Cricetulus griseus: one gene and its partners. The protein of the gene in region 4 interacts with the protein of the main gene of each other region in a pairwise test. Links are inferred from orthologs where the notes say so. Each region holds a gene or a part of one and is shown on either strand. Other genes may lie near its edges. The genes, in order: Igf1r, Raf1, Egfr, Grb10, Gigyf2 and Gigyf1.

What was found.
Region 1: the proteins of Grb10 (region 4) and Igf1r interact in a two-hybrid assay, tested with the Homo sapiens proteins (4 studies listed by BioGRID and IntAct). The link is inferred for Cricetulus griseus from reciprocal best matches to the Homo sapiens genes GRB10 and IGF1R.
Region 2: the proteins of Grb10 (region 4) and Raf1 interact in a two-hybrid assay, tested with the Homo sapiens proteins (2 studies listed by BioGRID). The link is inferred for Cricetulus griseus from reciprocal best matches to the Homo sapiens genes GRB10 and RAF1.
Region 3: the proteins of Grb10 (region 4) and Egfr interact in binary tests that used the Homo sapiens proteins (3 or more experiments, as listed by UniProt). The link is inferred for Cricetulus griseus from reciprocal best matches to the Homo sapiens genes GRB10 and EGFR.
Region 5: the proteins of Grb10 (region 4) and Gigyf2 interact in a two-hybrid assay, tested with the Homo sapiens proteins (2 studies listed by BioGRID). The link is inferred for Cricetulus griseus from reciprocal best matches to the Homo sapiens genes GRB10 and GIGYF2.
Region 6: the proteins of Grb10 (region 4) and Gigyf1 interact in a two-hybrid assay, tested with the Homo sapiens proteins (2 studies listed by BioGRID). The link is inferred for Cricetulus griseus from reciprocal best matches to the Homo sapiens genes GRB10 and GIGYF1.

Annotation. Positions count from the first base shown.
Region 1 is NC_048596.1:129,269,954-129,274,083, forward strand, and holds the start of Igf1r (insulin-like growth factor 1 receptor), read right to left. Parts: upstream 2,850-4,130; 5' UTR 2,379-2,849; coding exon 2,285-2,378; intron 1-2,284. UniProt on the Homo sapiens protein: Receptor tyrosine kinase which mediates actions of insulin-like growth factor 1 (IGF1). Binds IGF1 with high affinity and IGF2 and insulin (INS) with a lower affinity. The activated IGF1R is involved in cell growth and survival control.
Region 2 is NC_048601.1:29,220,832-29,223,600, reverse strand, and holds part of Raf1 (RAF proto-oncogene serine/threonine-protein kinase), read right to left. Parts: intron 2,358-2,769; coding exon 2,181-2,357; intron 877-2,180; coding exon 830-876; intron 1-829. UniProt on the Homo sapiens protein: Serine/threonine-protein kinase that acts as a regulatory link between the membrane-associated Ras GTPases and the MAPK/ERK cascade, and this critical regulatory link functions as a switch determining cell fate decisions including proliferation, differentiation, apoptosis, survival and oncogenic transformation.
Region 3 is NW_023276807.1:89,393,589-89,397,153, forward strand, and holds part of Egfr (epidermal growth factor receptor), read right to left. Parts: intron 3,184-3,565; coding exon 3,093-3,183; intron 517-3,092; coding exon 317-516; intron 1-316. UniProt on the Homo sapiens protein: Receptor tyrosine kinase binding ligands of the EGF family and activating several signaling cascades to convert extracellular cues into appropriate cellular responses.
Region 4 is NW_023276807.1:93,633,991-93,637,044, forward strand, and holds the end of Grb10 (growth factor receptor-bound protein 10), read left to right. Parts: intron 1-358; coding exon 359-505; 3' UTR 506-2,547; downstream 2,548-3,054.
Region 5 is NC_048595.1:439,092,624-439,095,825, reverse strand, and holds part of Gigyf2 (GRB10-interacting GYF protein 2), read right to left. Parts: intron 1,799-3,202; coding exon 1,651-1,798; intron 1-1,650. UniProt on the Homo sapiens protein: Key component of the 4EHP-GYF2 complex, a multiprotein complex that acts as a repressor of translation initiation. In the 4EHP-GYF2 complex, acts as a factor that bridges EIF4E2 to ZFP36/TTP, linking translation repression with mRNA decay.
Region 6 is NC_048597.1:116,445,890-116,448,924, reverse strand, and holds part of Gigyf1 (GRB10-interacting GYF protein 1), read right to left. Parts: coding exon 3,026-3,035; intron 2,900-3,025; coding exon 2,735-2,899; intron 2,528-2,734; coding exon 2,274-2,527; intron 2,190-2,273; coding exon 2,081-2,189; intron 1,409-2,080; coding exon 1,274-1,408; intron 1,130-1,273; coding exon 1,029-1,129; intron 888-1,028; coding exon 716-887; intron 619-715; coding exon 452-618; intron 311-451; coding exon 210-310; intron 131-209; coding exon 11-130; intron 1-10. UniProt on the Homo sapiens protein: May act cooperatively with GRB10 to regulate tyrosine kinase receptor signaling. May increase IGF1 receptor phosphorylation under IGF1 stimulation as well as phosphorylation of IRS1 and SHC1.

The DNA of each region.
Region 1 (4,130 bases), on a different chromosome or scaffold from region 4:
ACCTTCAACTGTAAACAGGGAAGGGCAGACACCCACTTGAGTCAGGACTTCAGCAGGCCCTAACAAGGATTCTGGGTGCTTTCTAGCCATCCATCACATTTCAGGAAGCCTGAGGAAGAGCTTGGCCAATTATCACTGGATGATAAACAACACACATTAAAACACCCTTCTCCTGCCACCCTTGTTCTGGACAAAGCATATTGTTCATGAAGACCCAGCCACAACCTGTTTCAGATGCCTACATGCTGCCCCAAGATGCAAGGCCATCGCTGCTACTTTGCATTTCGTAACTTCTATTAAATAACAAAAGTAGAGAAAGTGCATAGTTCAATAGGATGCCATAGTAAAATGGACTCCTTCCTAGTGCCTTCTAAACCATATTTAGTCCTTAAAGGCTAAAAATCCTCCCTGCCCCCAAACACCATCTAAACGCCTGGGTAGAAGTGAGCCAGAAACCTTTCGCCCAATCCAGTAAGTTCAAAGTTTGGAAAACAAAGGACAGGAGAGCCCAGATCTGTGTGTCGGCCCAGTCTGCGCCTTACTCTAGGCAGTAAACAGCTATAGTTCTATAAAGATCTGCTCGTACTCCATCGCAGACATTTCTTAAAAGAAGTTCAAGGGTTTGTTTATAGAAACAGCCTTTGTTAACTACCCCAGTGGTGGGGCCGCACGCCGTGCGCAGCCTCCATCATCTCCCCCTCGCTAACTCAAGACTCCGTCATGATTTTTCGAAGTTAATAGGCACCACCTGCATACATTCTGTAACCATTACTCATCAGCACGCCCTCACCTCCCCAGCCCCAGCTCGGAGACTGCATTTAAACTTTTAATTGTGTTCAAATTACTCTATCATCTCAAAACTACCAGTATGCCACACTGTTTTTCTCGAGAACAAACCCCCTCCAAACCACCTCCCTCCTCCTGACACTGTGGAGAGTGCTCACTCCCAGACACACACACACACACACACACACACACACACACACACACACACACACACACACACACACTCACTCCTACCCAACACCACCAAAACAAAAGCTATCAGATTGCAAGCGATAGCGAGCGTGGAGCGATACTGCTTATTAAGTATGTACAAAGGAAGTGCGGGGGGCGGGGGGGGGGGGCAGTGCAACACAACTCTGGCCACAACAAAACCAAGGCCAGAGCTCCGCGCTTGCAAAACAAAACAACCACTCCTCCACTACCACACTGACGCTGCCCAAACCAACGCACACGACACCTCTCCCCCGGGCTAGGAGTCCAGGTGTCCCCTCGGGTCGTGTGGCTGTGGATGCCCCTAAACCCGCGCTGAGAACACACGTGTGTGGAAAAGCACATCGGCTCTGCTCATGGGTTGATGTCCCGACCACGTTTTACTTAGACGCTTTTAGGAAGAAGGGGTGTCCAGGGCTGGGTAGAAACTTACAGACTGCCCAAGGACCCTCAAAGTTGGGGATCCAAGCCTCGCACCCCCGAAGGAGTCTGAAGAAGGTCCCAAGCTCACGCTTCCCTAGGGAAAGCCGGGGAATAAACCCTGAACCCCAGAGCCACACCGATGAGTCCCGAGTCACGAAGCCGTGGGGGACGAGGGGACTAGACGCCCATCGTATCATGTGAGATGATGCTAAAGGCCAAAAACCCTAGGGACCTTATGGGCCAAACAAGTTGGACGACAGGAGGCCATGCCGTGATGTTTGGAAACGTTTCCTGGGGCCGCGAGGCCTCCCCACCCCGCACCTCCCCCTCAAGGACAACTTGCACCCCGCAGGGCAGGAGGCTCCCGCTCGCCGCCACGGCGCACTCAGTCTACCCCATGAGCCACCGGTGAAGCCTCCAAAGGTGCTGTCACCGTGGTGCGCTGCGCGGGATGGGCGCTGGGTGTGGAGATGCCCGCGCGCAGGGGTGAGGAGAGACGAGGGTGGCAGGGACCCTGAACCCACCCAGACACCAACTTCCCCACCAAGTGCCCACGCGCGGGAGTGTCCCTGAAGAGCCGTGGAGCAAGTGCTGCCCACCCACCAGGCCGCGCGCGGGACAGCGCTCCCGGGACAGTGAAAGAGAAAGCCCTGAGGCCCTTCCTGAGCACGGATGCGCTGAGCCAGAGTCCGTGGGGGTCCCGAGCCTTAAGCTCCCCTCCTGCCTTCAGTGAGAGCCCCACCCTCCGCTCTCGAGCTCGGGAGTCCGACAGCTGCGCCCGTGGCAACTGGGTTTTCCCAAACAGGGCGCAGCCCCTCGGAGGAAAAGTTCCCGCAGTGGCCGCGGGCGGCGGGCAAATACTCACTTTCTCCACTCGTCGGCCACAGCGAGAGCGCGGCAGAGAGAAACACGAGCCCCCACAGTGAGGTCGGGGACCCTCCTCCGGAGCCAGACTTCATTCCTTTTATTTGGGACGCAATTCCCTTCTCTCAAAAGAAAAAGAAAAAGAAAAAAGAAAAGAAAAGTCTCCAACTCAGTCCTCACTCTCCTTCAAAAACAAGAGCGCAGGCGACGATTCTCGGAAGGCGGCGTGGACGGGGAGGGTGGCGCGGGGCGGCCCCTTCAGCGCCGGCAGCAGCGGCCCACGGCGCGGCGGAGTCGGGAAGCCGGGGCGCGCCGGGGCGGGCTGTCGGCGTCGTCGGCCTCCATTTGCAAACCCAGAGATGCAGAAGAGGGGGAAAAACTGTACGGAGAGAGGAGCAAAGCCCAAATCGCCACAGGCGAGGACAAACGTCCCCAGATGCCCGGAGGGAGCAACCGGCCAAGCCTCCGCGGCGGGAGAGCGCGACGCAGTTGGCGAGACTGGTCCGAAGTCCCGGGCGCGGGCGAGGTCGGCGAGGGGCAGATATGCGGAGTGGAAATGAATGAGCGGCTCCCCCTCCTCGGGCTCCTCCTCCTCCTCTGGGCTCCGCTCGCCGCCGCCTCCTCCTCCTCCCTCAGCGCCGCCGCCGCCGCGAGCTCCTTCCCAAATCCAGGACACACACACACAAAGCGGCGGCCGTGCAGCGCTCTGAGCTCCCGCCGCCCCACGTCGGCCCCCGCCCGCCGCCGACTCCGTGCGCGGGGGCTCCGGCTCGCTGAAGGTCAAAGCCGAGCGCGCCGCGCGCCGTGGAGCTCTCGCAGGCGCGGGAGAGGCGTGGAGGGTCCGAGGAGAGGGGCCGAGGGGCTGCGAGCACCAAGCGCGCCGGGACAGGCTCGCTGGCGGCTTCCCTGTCGCTGGCCTCTCTCGAGTTCGCCCGGTGCGCTCCCTCCTCCTCGGTTCCCCCCTCCCCCGCTTTTTTTTTTTTTTCCGCTCAGCGGAGTTAATGCTGGTAAACAAGAACCTCAGCCTCACCGCGCCGCCGCCGCCACACACTGGGGGCTCTACGCGCGCGCTCTCGGGGCCGCGCACACGTGCCCGCGCGCACACTCCAAGCGTCCACAGCCGCAGTCCCGGCGCGCCGAGGGCCGGGCCCCGACTCGGCAGGCGCCAAGAGCCGGAGTTCGGGATCGCAGGGACGTGCGGAGCGGAGCGCGGGCGTGGGGAGCCGGGCTAGGGAGGCACCGCCCCCCGCGCCTCCACCCGCGCTGGCCCCCGCGCGCACACAGAGCCACGCGCGCGCCCACGCTTCCGCCCCCACCCGCACTGCGCCGGCCAGCCCTGTACGCACCCACCCCTCCCGCAGGACTCCAAAAAACAATGCCCCGGGCGCCGGTGGGACTCGGTGGCCCGGGAGGTGGCAGGGCGGGCGGACGAGCAGGCGGGCTGCGGGCGCGGTGGGCGGGGAGTGCGGCCCCGAGCTTCATTGAAAACAACAACAGCGCGGCTGGAGAGCGCGCTGGCCCGCTCTGTGAAAAAGCTTCATTGTTTCTTGCAGCTGTTGCAAAATAAATAAATAAGTGCATGCATGCAGCATTTTTTCGCAGCGTGGTGGAAAGCCCAGACGCGGCGGGAGGGGCACACCTGGGGAAAGGGGACCCCCGAAGATTGCTAAGCAGGGCACTTTCCACGCCAGGCTCGGGCGCCCGTGGCGGCGCTCCCCAGGTGTTCCGGTGCTCGCGCGCAATCGGGAAGCGGACAGGGTGCGGTCCGCGTGGCTCTACTGGGAGGAAGGCGATCCCACCGCGGGCCCCCGAGTCCTGGAAAGGGGACCCAGACCGGCGGCCCCTCG
Region 2 (2,769 bases), on a different chromosome or scaffold from region 4:
TCAGCAAAGTGTGGCAGTCATGGCCACTAATCATAAGCTGAGCATAACACTGCCACACCATCTCAGTGTACAGTTAGTGTGAGAAAGGGAATTCGGTTTCTAACAGTGGCTTCTAGGCTGACTTCAAGGACATTATGGAGCAATTTCAAAGGAAACGATCAGACATTCTGGGGTCTATTGGACACTGGTTCTGAATTGGTGGCCCTCCAGTTAAAATAGGGAATTGTGGAGGTCAGGTGATTAGTGGAGTTGGGCTGAAACTAGCTCACAGTAGGTCCCCAAACTCACCCTGTGATTATCTATCTCCCCAGTCCCAGAATGTATAATTAGTATAGCTCTATCCCAATTCTCAGTCTACTATAAGGGTGACATTATGATGCTTGGACCAAGTAAGAGGCAGCAGCCACCTTGGACTTGTTGGTAACATATGCATCCGAGGATGGGAAATACACCCAAAATCCTGAAAATCTGGCCCGCCATTTACATTCTCCTCTGTGTGCACAGTAATACATTTTCCACAGATGAGGCATAAATAGATACTAATAAACTCTCAAGCAAACTTTATATAATTCAACCAGGCTGAGTTCAAGTTCATTCCAAGTTTGTATCCCAACTCTGAAGGAACTTGTGGAGGAAAGAAACCTTAAGGAAGGAACTTTCATAGACACAGTCACTGCAGCCCAGTTAAGGTGGAGGCTGCAGAGGGCCTGTTTGGCTTCTTAACTATCCATTTTTGTTTTCCTTTAAAAAGCTCTCCCCTGGCACCGTGAACCATATATGAAAAAGGCCTCTTGGGTCCCTAAGCTGAGAACTCAATACCAAAGGATACTGTTGGATTTCATGTCTCTGTGGATGATGTTCTTCGCATGCAAATAGCTGTGAAGAAAAACCAATCAGTTGTTTGAGGCTATAGCTAGTAAAGCACCCGTCTTCCCAGCCTAAGCCTGTCACCTACAGAAAGGCTACAAGTGTAAATGATGCTGACATCAAACATCGATTTCACTCAAAATGTAACTGACAGCCTCACTGGCCATCAACTAACTGGTGGGCACCACTTCACCCCACATACCAAACAAAGCCAGGCCATGCAAACAAAGCCAGGCATGTAGAACGCTGTATTTTATCTCACATGCCACTTGTCCAAAGACAAAACCCAGCAGTGGGAAGGCTGATTATCAGGAGCAAGGGATGACTATAAGCTGTATTTTTCTGTGTGGTGAGAATGCAGGATTTAATAGGACAGCTACACTATGAATACAGAAGGGCCCCAAAGCCCCACCTTCCAAAAGAAAGAATTCTTACGGTATATGAATTATTCCTTAATGTTAAAATTTTTGTATGAATTTTATTTTCTGGTGTTTTGAGATGGGTTCTCTCCGTGTAGCCCTGGCTATTCTGGAACTTGCTCTGTAGATCAAGCTGGCCTCAAACTTAGAGATCCACCTGCCTCTGCACCACACTCCCAGCCCCTGAGTGCTGAGATTAAAGGCATGTGCCACCACTACCTGACTTCTGTATGAACTTCAAAACAGAACACAACTGTAATGCTTATACTAGTATACTAGCTATAGTCACCAGGTAGGGGAGGAGGGAGCAAACACTACAGAATTCCTGTACCCTCATCCTAAGGGCACTTGGGAAGCAAAGCTCAAGAGCACTGCCTGGTACTTGCCAGGAGGGAACCTTATCACTCAGTAACATGTCCTGCAGAGACCCAGAGGATCCAGGAGCTAAAGGATGGCCTTTTAAAGACAGTGGATGATCCAAGGTGACAAAGGGCTGGAAAGATGGTTTGGAGTTTAAGAGCATGCACTGCTCTTGCAGAAGACCCACTTTCCATTCCCAGCACCCACATATCAAGCAGCTCACAACTGATTCCAGCCTCAGGACCACCCAACTCTTGAATACTGACTTGTGCATGTATCTACACACAGACCCACACAAATACACACAGTCTAAAATACACACATTAAGCACCAGTGAGCAGAAGATGTTCCTGCTGCCTGGACACAAGGTTCCTACAGACAGTGATTAGATCTGGCTCATGAGGAACAGGAGCTTCAGAGTTCCCATGCATTAACACCCAATTTCAAAAAGCCTACCCAGGTGCCACTCAATCCAGGTCCCAAAAGGGCAACTCATGATTCAGGCCACAAGGACTCACCAAGCTGTCTACTTACTCCATTCCCTGAGCTGTCTGTCGGGCAATGTCAATTAGCTGGAACATCTGGAATTTGGTCTCCTGGACATGTAGGTGTTTATAGAGACTGCTGCCTTCACACCACTGGGTCACAATGGCCAGGTTGTCCTTTGTCATATAGCCCATGAACAGCAGGATATTAACATGCCGTGTTTTGCTGGGGAAAGGGGAACCAGGGAAAGCACAGCCATGAGAGCACTGCCTACAATCCGCTCAAGCCCACCCTTCATCCACCTCCACGCTGGCCTTGCTTGAAGAGATGCCCTCTGTACAGGACCCCTCATCTGTGAAATCCACCTCTGTCCAACTCATCCCTACAGACCTAAGAGTAATTCAATGACTAGAAAGCTAGTGCTCAGGCTCCAGAATATAGCAGGTTAGCTATAAATAGATGGCTGGAAATAAAGGTAAAAACACAAGCCAAATCCCACACAGCTAGACTGTTGCCTATTGATTAGAGAGAAGAGGTGTGTCTATGCAAAGGGTTCGTCTAGCTTTTAGCACATACTCGGGAAGGAAATAGAGTTCCTTCCTCCTTAGAGGAGTATCCCTCAGAACCCACAGCAGGT
Region 3 (3,565 bases), about 4.2 Mb from region 4:
CCCTTTGGCTGGTGGGGCATGCCCTCAGGGCCCTTTTTCTTATTGTCCCAGTGTAGAGTACAGGACTTCTCTTTAAGGGTTCATCTCTTTGCAGTTTTGATTGTATTCTCAGCATCTGACTTACTTGCAACTTTAAATTCTGCCCTTTCCCCTACTGAACTACACATTTTTCATATCCCATGTCCACTTTTCCCTCCAGCACACTGTAGACCTGGATAAGAACAGTGAGCAGGAGCCACGGACCTCTTTGGCATTCTTTCTACAACAAATTACTTGAGGAACCGTCTGCACAGGTGAGACAGGACCAGCTACTTACTGCAGTCATTCGGGGCTCTGTTGTTCATGATTTTGGTTTTCTGATTAGAAGTCCCAAAGAGTTTTTTCCAGTTTATTGTATTTGCGTAGCACAAATTTCGGTTTCCAGAAATGACCACATCTCCATCACTTATTTCCTTGAGGGAACGCAATCCCAATGATGTTATGTTTAGGCCAACGACCGCAAGAGAAAATTGACCACTAAATGGGGGAGAAGAAAAATTGCATTGTACATGATAGTGAAAACAACATGCCACCCTCAAATTTTGTTTTTCTGGGCCACTTAGGTTTCCTGAAAACCATGTTACAATTATTACTAATAATTCTGTGAAAAATATGAATCACAACTTTTAAAAAATGCAAGTGCTTTTTAAGTTTCTTCAAGGAAAAGCCGGTTTCTCATCCATTTATTATCTTTAACATTGGGTAAACTGGAGGACTGAGTCATTGGCCTCATGTCATTTCATTTACTGTATTTAGAGTTTTCCTAGAAATCAGGAACACCTAAATGTTCTTTAAGTAAGTTTGTTTGTCTGTCCATCTATCCAGTGTTATCCGGTCATGTTTATTGAGTGAATATCTGTCATACCACTGCACTATATGGTACCATGGTACTACAAATACTATATAAGTTAAATATGTGTCTTTTATAGAGGCAGAGGTTTTTGTTTATTTTTGAATCCCTACCTTAATTCTCCTACCTCCTCTCCTCCAAATCCCCTTTCCCCATCCGCTCTTTCTCGTTTGTTTCTCTTCAGAAAAGGGCAGGCCTCCCATGGATATCAGCCAGCCATGGTATATCAAGTTATAGTGAGACTAGGCAACTCCCCTCATATTAAGGCTAGATGAAGTGATCCGATCCCATAGGAGGAAAGGGTCCCTAAAGCAGGCAACAGAGTCAGAGACAGCCCCTGCTCCCAATGCTAGGAGTCCGACAAGAAGACCAAGCTACACAGCTGTAACATACATGCCTAAGTCAGTACCCTGCAGGATCCCTGGCTGTTGGTTCAGTATCTGTGAGCCTCTATGAGCCCAGGTTAGCTGATTGCAGGCAGAGTTTTTTGAGGTCAGAAAAATGAATGCAGTTTATAGAGCATTGTTGGTCAAGCATGGACACTTAAGTAGCTCCATGGATGAATGGCATAGAAGGATGACTTTCTCCAAGCCCTGATGTCTCATATCTGAGACCTGGAGAGCAGAGCCAAGTGAGATTCTCCAAGGTATGTTCCCATTGAATGACTGGATTAAAGTTAGCAAGACAAAAGGCAATGAATCCCAAAGCCCTAGGAAGAGGACTTCAGGATATCTGCAGGTAGGGAGGGCTGGAAGACATGCCCTGGGGATGGAGGGTGAAGTCAGAGCACAGGTTTATGCCCCTACTGGAGGAGCTTGGGTTGTCACAGTCACATAGAAGCAGTGTGCATTCGTAGGAAGATTCTTTGACACCCACCTCAGAAATGGGTCGGTTGAGACAGGACAAAGGCAAGAGAATGAAAGTTAAGAGATTAAAAGCCAAAGGTTTAAAGCATTATTTTGTAGCCCCCTCTTCCTGTTTATGCTTCTTTCCATTTTCCCCACAGCCTATTTCCAGAGAAGTGACAGTCCTAGGTAGGAGATCCACAACCACCATTTCCTGGGAATTCCCCCCAGCATGAACTCGGAGAAGCCAAGGAGTCAGGGTCTGGCTGGGATTTTTTTTTGCAGGTCAAGCCCCAGCTTTTTGTGAGTCACACCAGGACCTAGTGGTCATCCAGTGGTTTAAACCCTTAAAACGAAGCAGAAGGCTGCAATGCAGTCACTTGAAATCCTGAGCCAAAGCTCATCCCTGGCCTATGCAAAGACATCTCTGAGAGTTAGTATCACAAGTGTCTGACTAACAGAGTTTATGGAAGCAATGTATATTGTGTATATGTGATTATGGTGCTTTGACGTATTAAACAGTTCATGGTATGTGAAGTTAATGGTGGTAAATTCCAGAAAAGGCCATCATAATCAGAAAGTTTTCAAGGCAGTTTGAGCTACAGATTTCCAAATTTCTCTTCCTCACCACAAATCTTAGGATTTCTCTGTTAAAGATCTCCCTCCCTTCCTCCATTTTCCCCTACCTTCTTCCCTCCCTCCCACCGTCCCTCCCTCCCTCCCTTCCTCCCTCCATCAACCTTTTTGTTTCTTTCTCTGTCTGTCTGTCTGTCTGTCTGTCTGTCTGTCTGTCTGTCTGTCTGTTTCTCTGTGCGTGTATGCATGTGTATATCTTTTTCTCTCTGTGCACACATTTCCTTGTTGTGGCTGGAAAAATGTTCGTTATAGGTCCCCAAAGCATGTAGTGTTAAAACATTGCTTAGGTCCCCTTGTGTGATATGTTATATATCTTCATCTGTATCATTAGCAAATATTAGCCAAGAATAAATAAGGAGACAGTCTATAAAACACCTGGTCACATTTTCCCAGAATGTCAAGACAGTGAAAATGGGCAAAGACATAGGAGTGAGGGAAGTTTGAAGGGGACTGAGAAGATATTAGAAGTCAATGCAATGTGGGATTCTTGAGAGGACAGAGAAAGAACAAACATATTCCTGGACAATCTGGTGAACTCAGAATAAAGTACATGGTTGAGTGAACATCTATCTTAATCCGAATATCCACTCACGTAGGTTGTTCACACTGGGGGAAGCTGAGTGAAAGAGCATCTTTGTACTATTTCTGTAACCCTCCTTTCAGGCCAATTTCAAAATAAAGAGCAAGAATAATCTATCAGCCTTTGGTTATGGCTGACTTACTGTTGCTTTGTTCTGCCACGTATTATTTCTAGGTTCTCAAAAGCATGGAGGTCAGTCCAGTTTTCAGGCCAAGCTTGAATCAGCAAAAACCCTAGAGGGAGGAAGAAAGGCTTATACACACAGTGCTAGAAATGTCTTTGTTTTGTAGGAAACATATTCTAGGACTCATGGTGTATGGACAGCGGCAGTGGATTCTCCCAGCCTCGCTGTGACTAAGGATGACTAAGGATGTCCAAGGACGACAGTCCAGGAGATATTTAAAAAAACATTGAAATCCTGCTCCCTCCATGGAACTTTGAATCCCTGATTGCACCTCTTGCAACCCTCAGGCCAATGCCCACCTTACAGGCTGACCATGTACTCTTATATCTATGGAGGATATCAGATCACACACCAGGTTCCTTCTCTGACTGTTTTCATGTTGCTGGTTATTTAGGGTCTCGTCTTAAATACTTTCTTCACTTAGCGCTGAT
Region 4 (3,054 bases):
AGATTCTAGGGCTACTAGACACTTCCAGCAGGTTTGACCTTGACTGTTTTCAGTGAAGGAATTGAGCCAGTGTATCTCATGACTACTCAAAATTATAGAGGACCTAACTGATAGTTAAGTGGCTACCAACGAGAAGTTGTACTCCTGTCCCCCTCTCAGTATTAGAAAGTGTGGTTACAGCACCAGGCACAAATACTGGCTCCCTTCACACCATGTCTTCTGACCTACCTTGCCAACTTTGTGTGTGGCTCTCAGGAACAGAACCATAAGCAGGCAAATTTGCTGCTGACCACAGGCCACAGGGTATCCCCCAAAGTCACATCCTCTAATGTGGCAAGTACTTTCTGTGTCTCTGCAGTGCGAGGATGATGGGCAGACATTCTTCACTCTGGATGATGGGAACACCAAGTTCTCCGATCTGATTCAGCTGGTCGACTTCTACCAGCTCAACAAAGGTGTTCTGCCCTGCAAGCTGAAGCACCACTGCATCCGTGTGGCCTTATGACCTCCTTGCCCTATCACAGAGGCTGGAGGCAGCAACACTGGAACGGAGAAGAGAGGCCTGCATGAGGGTGAGAACACACACCTACTCCCACCCAACAACTCAGAACATCATGGCTTTCTGATCGGTGCCAACCGACCAACATCAATTAGTTATTGGACTTCACAAAGATTTGCCGCTGCGGATCAAGCAGGACCACCTCCCTCTGCGTCAGCCATTTAAATTGGGGGAGGGATGAGATCCAGTGCAAGTGTGGGAAGAAACTGGAATGATAATTTTGATTAGGCCACGTAGGGTGAAAACCGCAGAGAAATGATTGGAAATGAACTCTTGCCCTGGAATAATCTTGACAAAACCGCGATGTTTACTTTTTGTATTGATCACTTTTTTGCACTCCTTCTTCGTTGTCAATGTTGTACTCAGCCTATATGGTAGGAGGGGATGTGGCTTTGCAACCCAGATGAGACAAAGAATTTTGAATTGGCAGTCTTCAGCCTGAAAAATTGGTCCCCAAAGTTTTCTCAAGGGCATCCTGCTTTCCACAGGTTGCCACAGTGTGGATTTGGCTCCTACATTATAGATACCCCAGTAGTTCCCATTCTACTTGAAAAGCTTTTGTTTTAAAAAATAAAATAAAATAAAATAAAATAATGAGATAAAAAGTGTCAACCGCAGTTGACACCACGCATGTTTTGTGGACTCAGTCGAGCTACCACAGTCTGGTCATCATTGTTGTTGTGCTGATGTCTGGTCATTTATTATTAGTGTGTCTCGTTCTCCACAGTGCAGGAGACCTCATTACTTTGGAAAACTCACTGTTCCCCAGCACAGCACAGCTGCATGACCTCAGCTTCAGACTGATGTCAGCAAGCCTTCTTGTAACACATTGGTATTCATTGTGGATGCCACATAGTCCATCTGGGGTGCCCTGTGCCTCACATTTTCATAGCCACCCACTGTTGTAGAATAATTGCTGCCTTTACCCTCTGCAGTAGCCTCAGTCATTTCAGTTCTCCCACAGGGGTGGGGTGGGATAGTGGGGTGAAAGGATCTAATGAGAAAATGTCAACTTGTTGACCTTGTGCTCTGTCACTCTGAACATCTATGGTGATAAAGATAAGGAAACACTGCAGAGGGTGCCAGCATTGGCTGGCTTTGAGTCTTTGCTTGATGACCTCTGCACCCTACTGAAAACCCCCTAAGCCAGCAGGAGCAGGGTATGCAGAGGCTCTGCCTCTGATGGCTTCGGGTGAGATGTACCTCACAGTGGTTGTGAACATTGGACAGTTTTGATTTTTTGGGTTTTTTTTAGCAGCATGATGTTTGCTTCCTCCTCCAAGAGAGGAGTCAGAAGGTGGCTGGAGTTGTCATTGGCTCCCTTGAGCCCCCATGGAGGACCCTCTGTTGTCCCCTTAATGATTTTTATCAGGCATGAGGGTATCAGACAGGACTCCCTTGAGAAACACAGACAACCGTGGTGAACAGATTTCTTTTCCTGACACCACACCTGACTGTCCCTTTGAACCTGAGCTAGCCACTAGATTGCCAGTCCCGACTTTTGAAGTGCTCCCCAGGGAGTACTTCTGATTTCTTGCGGTTGACGGCACAGTGGAAGATAGATGTAACAGCGCTTTGTAAGCAGGTCCGCTGCAAGCTGGTCCACAGTATAGAAACACTGTAGTTCACAGACCATGCAACCCGTGTTTCCACGAGATGTTTATTACAACAAATGAAGAATTTTTTTTTCTTTTTACTTTTTATCTTTTTATCTATCTTTTATCATTTTTTTTAGTAAAACATTTTCTTAAGCATAAATGCTCAATTGCATTTCTCTTTCTTTCGCAGCTAGTTAATCATTTCAGTTGACAATGAGATAATTCTCAAGTTCATGCCTGGCAGCAGGTTTCCACTGATCTTCCCCTTAGGGACAGATAACGGACATTTCATTTTTACCATATTCATTTTTTTTTTTTTTTTGCTGACTTTAAGATCAGAACTTTACAAAACAGACAACAAGCAACTCTAGGATTTCTTTCTCCAGTTTACACAGAACAGTCCCCACAGTGCATAATCATTTTCTTTTGCCTCTACAGTAGACAGCTAGGAAGTGTATCTCATATTTATAAGTATGCATTTTATTTAAAAGGAAGAATAGGCTTAACTCTGGTTCACAATTTTGTACGTAGCTGGTTTGACGTAGTATTTTGTACTTCCCTAGCCGAAGTGAATTGTTGAAGGCTGCAATCCGCCTTGAGTGTAGCAGACTTCAGTTGCCCCGAGCTCGCCAGCCTTTGCACAGGCAGCTGGGAATTCCACCTGAAACAGCTGGTCCCTGGGGTAGTGGGTACCCAGCACCCCTAGCCAGAGACTGAAGGACATTTGACTTTTATTTTTGTATTTAATTGACATGAATGTAAAGGGGACAGCTCAGGGTTGTTTTGGAGCCTGTTTGACTTTGTAATCTCTGCCTGTGATTTTCTTTTCCAAATGAAAACTCCGTGTAGCCACCAGGACTAAGTTGAGAAGGAAAATGCCAAATGCTTTGGGTTTTT
Region 5 (3,202 bases), on a different chromosome or scaffold from region 4:
GATTCCATGTCAAGAACAAATGAAATGAGCTGGAAACAATGAGCTGCATGCAACCGAAGAAATGTAATTTTAAAACCAACTAATTTCAATCAAGACAGGAAAAGAAACCTATGAAGAAATAATGATTATTTGAGATTACAATGTCTTGATTACCAGGTGAGGCTGTTTAGAAGACATGATCTAACTTAACTGATTTAAAAGCTCAGCTTCCTAACATTACAAAAACAATTGCTTGTGAGTGCCATGAAAGGCAAGGCAACAAAAGGGGTCTCTGCTGCTCCACAGACCACTTTCTTCTAGGTCTACAACACTCCCTCACCTGACTTCCTTAGGATTATGATCCTCTGTAGGAAAGGGAAGCCTGACTTCCTGGGAGGACTCTGCAAGGTGTATATTATCACCCCCAAATGGTTTACACTGGCTACTTGGGAACCCTTAAAATTAGTATGATTACAGTAAAGTGAAGGACACTGGGAAGTGAAATGATGTTGGGGCTCCCTCTGTTGGTTTGTTTCAGAATTAAAGTTCCCTTTCAATCTGTTCTTGCAATGAATGGATAATTCTAGATCCAGTTGAAAGCTATTCATCCAGTATGTGCATGGAAAACTTTTCTCAATCTGTAACTTTACAGAGAATACATGCATTGAGAAGTAACACATGAAAGTGAATAAACACAGGACTCCCCAGAAAGAGACTTAAGTAGGCAGTGCTTTTCACATGAAAAGATCACTCGCCCAAGTTAGTCCCCTCAGCACTTCATGGTCAAGTTCCTCGTCCTTTAGTGCTGGTTGTCCTCCCTTCAAGACAATGGAGCCTTTGAGCTCTAAGAGGACCTACCCATCCATCTCCCACACAGGGATGTTTAAGTCCCTGTCTTCTGGAGTCTATGGCAAAAGACCAAGAGCATACTGCAGAGAACAAACATGAACAGCTAAGCCACATCTGTAGAGCAACCTCTCATACCTGTAAGCCAAGTCCTAAGGACTTCTTAGCCAGAGCTACGGTTAGAAACCTATTCATCTATTTCTGTCAGAATTTTAAACTCTTTAACCTGTTTGATATTAATGTTCTAAAGAAGGACTCTATGGAAGTATATTAACTTCATATTCAAAAATAGAAAATAGTTTCATTTTCCATCACTACTTGTGTGGTTGTTAGGTCAATTTGAGAAACACAGCAACTTACATTCATTATTTATGAAATACCAGTACCCACCATTCCCACCTGTCTTTTAAAGCCCTAATTTAGGAGTCTGCTTTTTTAGGAAGCTACTGTGTGTGAGGACAATAGCCCTCAGTACCAGACAGAGAGGTGTCTACCACAGAAGAGCAGCAGAGGCCTGAAGTCCAGCTTACTGGCTGGGAGAACTGGGCTAAAAGTGGATATAACAAGCGCTGCTTCTCTGAATATTTGCTTCCAGAGCTCGACTGTCATCCATTATCCTTATCTTTATTTGAAAGGCTGAGCAATGCTTTCAAGTTTGCTTGTCTCCTGCACCTCCATGCCCAGGAAACACTTACTAGCCACTTCTCTTAAGGCCAGTAAGTAAAATGAACCTCGACATGAAAGACAGTGACTTATGATTATCTGGTCCCTCGTATCGCCCGAACCTTCCTCCCATCCAGGCTGAGACTCCAGGCCTATTCTCACCTAATAAACTAGGATCTGCTCGAACCATCTTCTGCTTTTTCTTCTTCTTGCCACTTTGCACAGCCTCAAAACTGGACTGTTGGTTGTTGCTTTGATTGGTCTGAAATACCGAATGGAGTGTACTATGGTTCATGCCCCAAACAGAATCCTGTGAAACAAGAAGCAAAACAGCACAACTACAATTATACAGTGCATTTGGATGTGGACGCTTGAAGAGAATGGCTGGCTGGCCTTTGCCTTCACCTTCACCTTCGCAAGTGTGAGTCTGCAAACAAAATCCCGGCGAGATAGCTCAGAGGGCAAAAGTGCTTCCACAGAAGTCTCATGGCCTGAGTTCATGCCCAGAACCCAGTGGAAGGAAAGAACCAACCCCCAAAAGTATAAAGTATTTCTTTTCTTTCTTCCTCTTTCCCTCTCCCCCTCCCTCCCTCTCTCTCTCCCCCCTCCCCCCTCTCTCCAAGGTTTCTATGTGAGTTCAAGGTCAGCCTGGTCTACAAGAGCTAGTTTAGTTCCAGGACAGCCTCCAAAGCCACAGAGAAACCCTGTCTCAAATAAACAAAAAAAAAGTGCATACTGTTCTTGTAAAGGACCTGAGTCTGATTCCTGGCAGTCACATCAGGCAGCTTACACTATAACTCCAGCACCATGGGTATCCTATGCTTTGACCTTCATTCATGTGAACACGCTAATAATTTAGTTACTTTAAAAATAAATCTTAAGAAAAAAAACCTGAACCAGTACTGGCAATACAAAAACTGAGAGAGGGTCACTGAACTACCAGTCCTCATTTACAGCACTCTACTTGATACCTGTTATCTCTATAAAGTCCCTCCTGAAACTCAAAGCTTTCACTCAGGCTATACCAGAATGGCTGTCCTAAGTTTTCTAGCAGATACAGTGTCTGTATCATACATTAGGAAACACACAACATCTGACCTCAGCACTATGGCAATATATGCACCTGACTGATTTACAGTATACAGGTCAGAGGACAAGCTGAAACTCAGCTGGCAATATACCAAAGGCTACAGTTATACACGTTATTCACACTGGCAATCCCAGAAGGGATTTGTTCCTAAAATATTGCCCCACATCTCTGCCGGCTGGTTAGAGTATAAAACAGTACACTAATCCTCTGTTCTTACTGTTGTATTTATTAGAGAAACTTACTTCAGAAGCATCAAGGGAGGAGTGCAGAGAGCACTGTGGAAGAACATGCCTAGGGTCCATGGGCACATGTGATGCGGGGGCATTTCCTTGCTGTTTTAGCCCACAGAGGAGACCATCCCCAGGTACAGTGTTTGCTGCACTACTTCATACCACCTGTTCCTGCAATGCCCTGAGACATCTGCTCTACTGTGCTCTGGTATGGACGCCTGCCAGTCCCTCCTAGTTTACCAAAGTCTGCTCTGCACAGTCTCAAATGCTCTGTGCTACATACAATGCGTCTTCCACATCTCCAGAAGTGATCTACAGCATAGTTATCATTTCTAGTAGAATATGCGGATTTTATGCCTCTTTATGAATCCTGCCAATTTGTCTTTCAGAAAAT
Region 6 (3,035 bases), on a different chromosome or scaffold from region 4:
TACAACAGACCTGGGGGTTTTGAGAGCCTGGAGCTGCTGCAGGAACGCAGTGAGCTGCTGCTGCTGCGGCGGCGTCAGGTCCCCCATAGCTGCCTTTTCCCGGAGCGTCGTACACTGCGGGAGCTGGCGGCTACAGACATACTGGGCTCAGACGGTATTACCACGTACAACCACTGCCCTGCCCACACCAAGCCCTGAAGTCCCCATACCTGCCGACCAGCTGCAGAAAGTGCTGGTGCTGCAGCTGCTGGTACAGGGCTGCGGCAGCCAGCTCCTGCTGCTTCTTCAGCCGCTCCTGATCCATGTTTCCCTGCGGGAGGTCAGAGCATGCCCGTGTGAGTGTGCCCAGCAGGAGCATGCCCAGCAAGTGAGGCAGTGAGGTAGTGCCTGAGGTCCTGCTGCTGCCCCACTGGTTGCCTTCCCTGCAACCTGCAGAGCAGACAGTGCTCACCAGCAGTGGGGGCGGCGAGGGCCCGGGGGCAAAGGGCACACGGCCCCACATCTTGATCACCTCTCCCAGAGGCTGAAAACCCTCATCGCAGCCCCTCTTCACTAGGAGTGACATGGAAAAGTAGCCTGCCTGGAACCACTCAGCCATCTCCTGGGTCGTGAAAGGGCCTGGAACAAGGGTGTGAGAGGGGTTAGGAGGTGGCCATGGCACGTCAGAGAGCACACGGAGCAAATCAACTCCCAGCAGTCTGCTACCCACAGCTACCTTGGATTTCCCCCTGTGGGTCCTTGTAGAACCACTTTCGGGCAGCGCCATGGCTGAGGGGAAGGGCAGTGGCGGCTGTGGAGTGGCGAAGGCCCTGTGTCTGCATGGCGGCCGTGAATTGCTCCTCCTCCAGGGAGCTGTCCTGCAGGGAGGCCACCAGCTTCTCTGCCTCCTGGGAGTCCAGAGAGAGAGGCAAGTCTGAGAGGACTGATACCACAAGGGCCATGTCAGACAGATCTAGGACACGTGGGACAAAGGTCTCTGCAACCCCAGAGTGGAGGCCCCTTGAGCATGCACAGGCACCCCCCCAAACCTGCTGCAGGTGCTTCAGGCCTTCTTCATCTTCCAGATCTCCAGGTGGGCCAGGAGGTGAGCCAACTCCAGGACTCAGAGACAGTCCCCTCATCTCATCTCCTGGGAGAAGAGATGGGAAAATGGGGAGGGGCCGAGGAAGGGACAGGATGGCTCTTGTGCCTGCTAGGAAAATGGCTCTTGCCACAACTCCAATTCTGTATCCACACCCAGCACTCCCTTTTCCATCAGCTCTTGCCAGTCTACCTTCAGCCGGTGGAGGCTCTTTCTCCACTACTTCATCACCATCCTCGTTCGTTGTCCAGAGAGGGCCCAAGGCAGGCAGTGGAGATGGGGAGCTGGACTTTTCTGGAGGAGGTAATGGCGTCACCTCCTTCCCACCTGGAAGGAACACATGACTACTTGAACTCAAAACTGAAGAGGCTGAGGCTAAGGAGTCGGCTCAATGCGTAAGTGTTTGTTTCACAACCATGAAGAGCAGTGTTGAAATCCCAAGAACCTGTATAAAAGCCACACATGGGAGTGGGAGTGGGAGGCAGAGAGAGGAGATTCTCCACAAGCTGGTAGGCCCAACTGAGCCTACCTCCAACAAGGTGAACGGCAGGGACTATACCCACTATACCCACAATTGTCCTCTGCCCCCCACATACTCTGTGGCACATATACAATAAAAATAAGAGAGCAGGGGGAGACCATGCCAGTGAGATAGCACAAAGTAACGTGTACCAGTTCCCAGACCTTGGGTGGTATGTCTATCCTTTCTAACTTTGGTCAACTCCCTAACCAACCAAGAAGTATGGATGCAGAGAACTGAGCTGTCTGCACTGCGCACACTGCCTCCCGGCCCTGCTCTGTGAGATATTGGTTAGGTCCTACAAGTGATGAGGGCTGTGTGGGTGGGTGCCTGCAGGCTTTCCACATGACTCCAAAGGTCATTCTCTTCACACCTGATAAAGGTCTCTCTCCACATCTCTGACTATTGGCTTGGCACATGCACGTGCACATATGTTAGAGGACGACTTGGCTCTTCCCTGCAAGGTTTTAAGGGCTCACCTGCCTCAGGCCCCTCTTCATCCACTCCTTCTGAAGGCTCCTCCTCCTCTTCCTCCAGGCCCTGGAAATCAAGCTCTTGCTCCTCGGGAATAGGTTCCTTGGGACCCTTCTGTGTGAGAAAGGGCAGAGTTGACAGTGGGAGAGGAGTTGAGGGACAGCTTCCATCAACCCCAACTGGCCCCTGAGAGGGTACCTTAAGAGGCAGGAAGGCCCCAGAAGCATCAAAAGTGCCCATCTCCTCATCTTCATCGTCCAGGCACCACTCAGGGAGCCCATCCTTGTCATCTTCAAAACCATCGAGCCCCCGGCATCTCCGGAGGTGAGAGCTGCCTCCCCCAAGTCGCCCGTCCTCTTCACCACACGCTCCTCGTTCCCCTCGTAAATCAAAATCAAACTTGCGCCTCCGCTCCCCATGCTCCCGCCAGCCAGCAGAGCGGGGACCACCATCTGGAAGAGAAAGTTAGAGAAGGAAAACAAAACAAAACACAAAAATGAGTGTCCAGCCAAACCAGGATTTGCCTTCTTCAGCTCACCAGGTCTTCCCAAGAAGCATGGCTTCCCCAGGATGTCCTCATCCCTCATATGCATGACCACCCCTTCCCCAGTATCGGCCCCATGGGGGCAATTTTCAAACTCCACCTTGCCCCATCTTACCAGGGCTGGTGGAACGCCAGCGATCACCATCTCGCCGGGGTCCTGCCCCGAGTCTCCAGCTGCCATCCTCCTCTTGCTCCTCTCGTAGTGAGCGCCAATTCTCACTGTCAGAGCGCGCATGCTCCTTCCTCGGGCCGGCCCCCCCCTCCTCAAACCCAGACCGTGCTGGCATGGGGGAGACAGACAATGAGCACCAAAGAACCCTGTGACAGGGTTCTGCCCCCCCTCCACCTGGGAGCCCATCTCAATCGCCTCCCTACCCTACTGGCCACACACGCAATGCTCTCATACCTCCATCCCT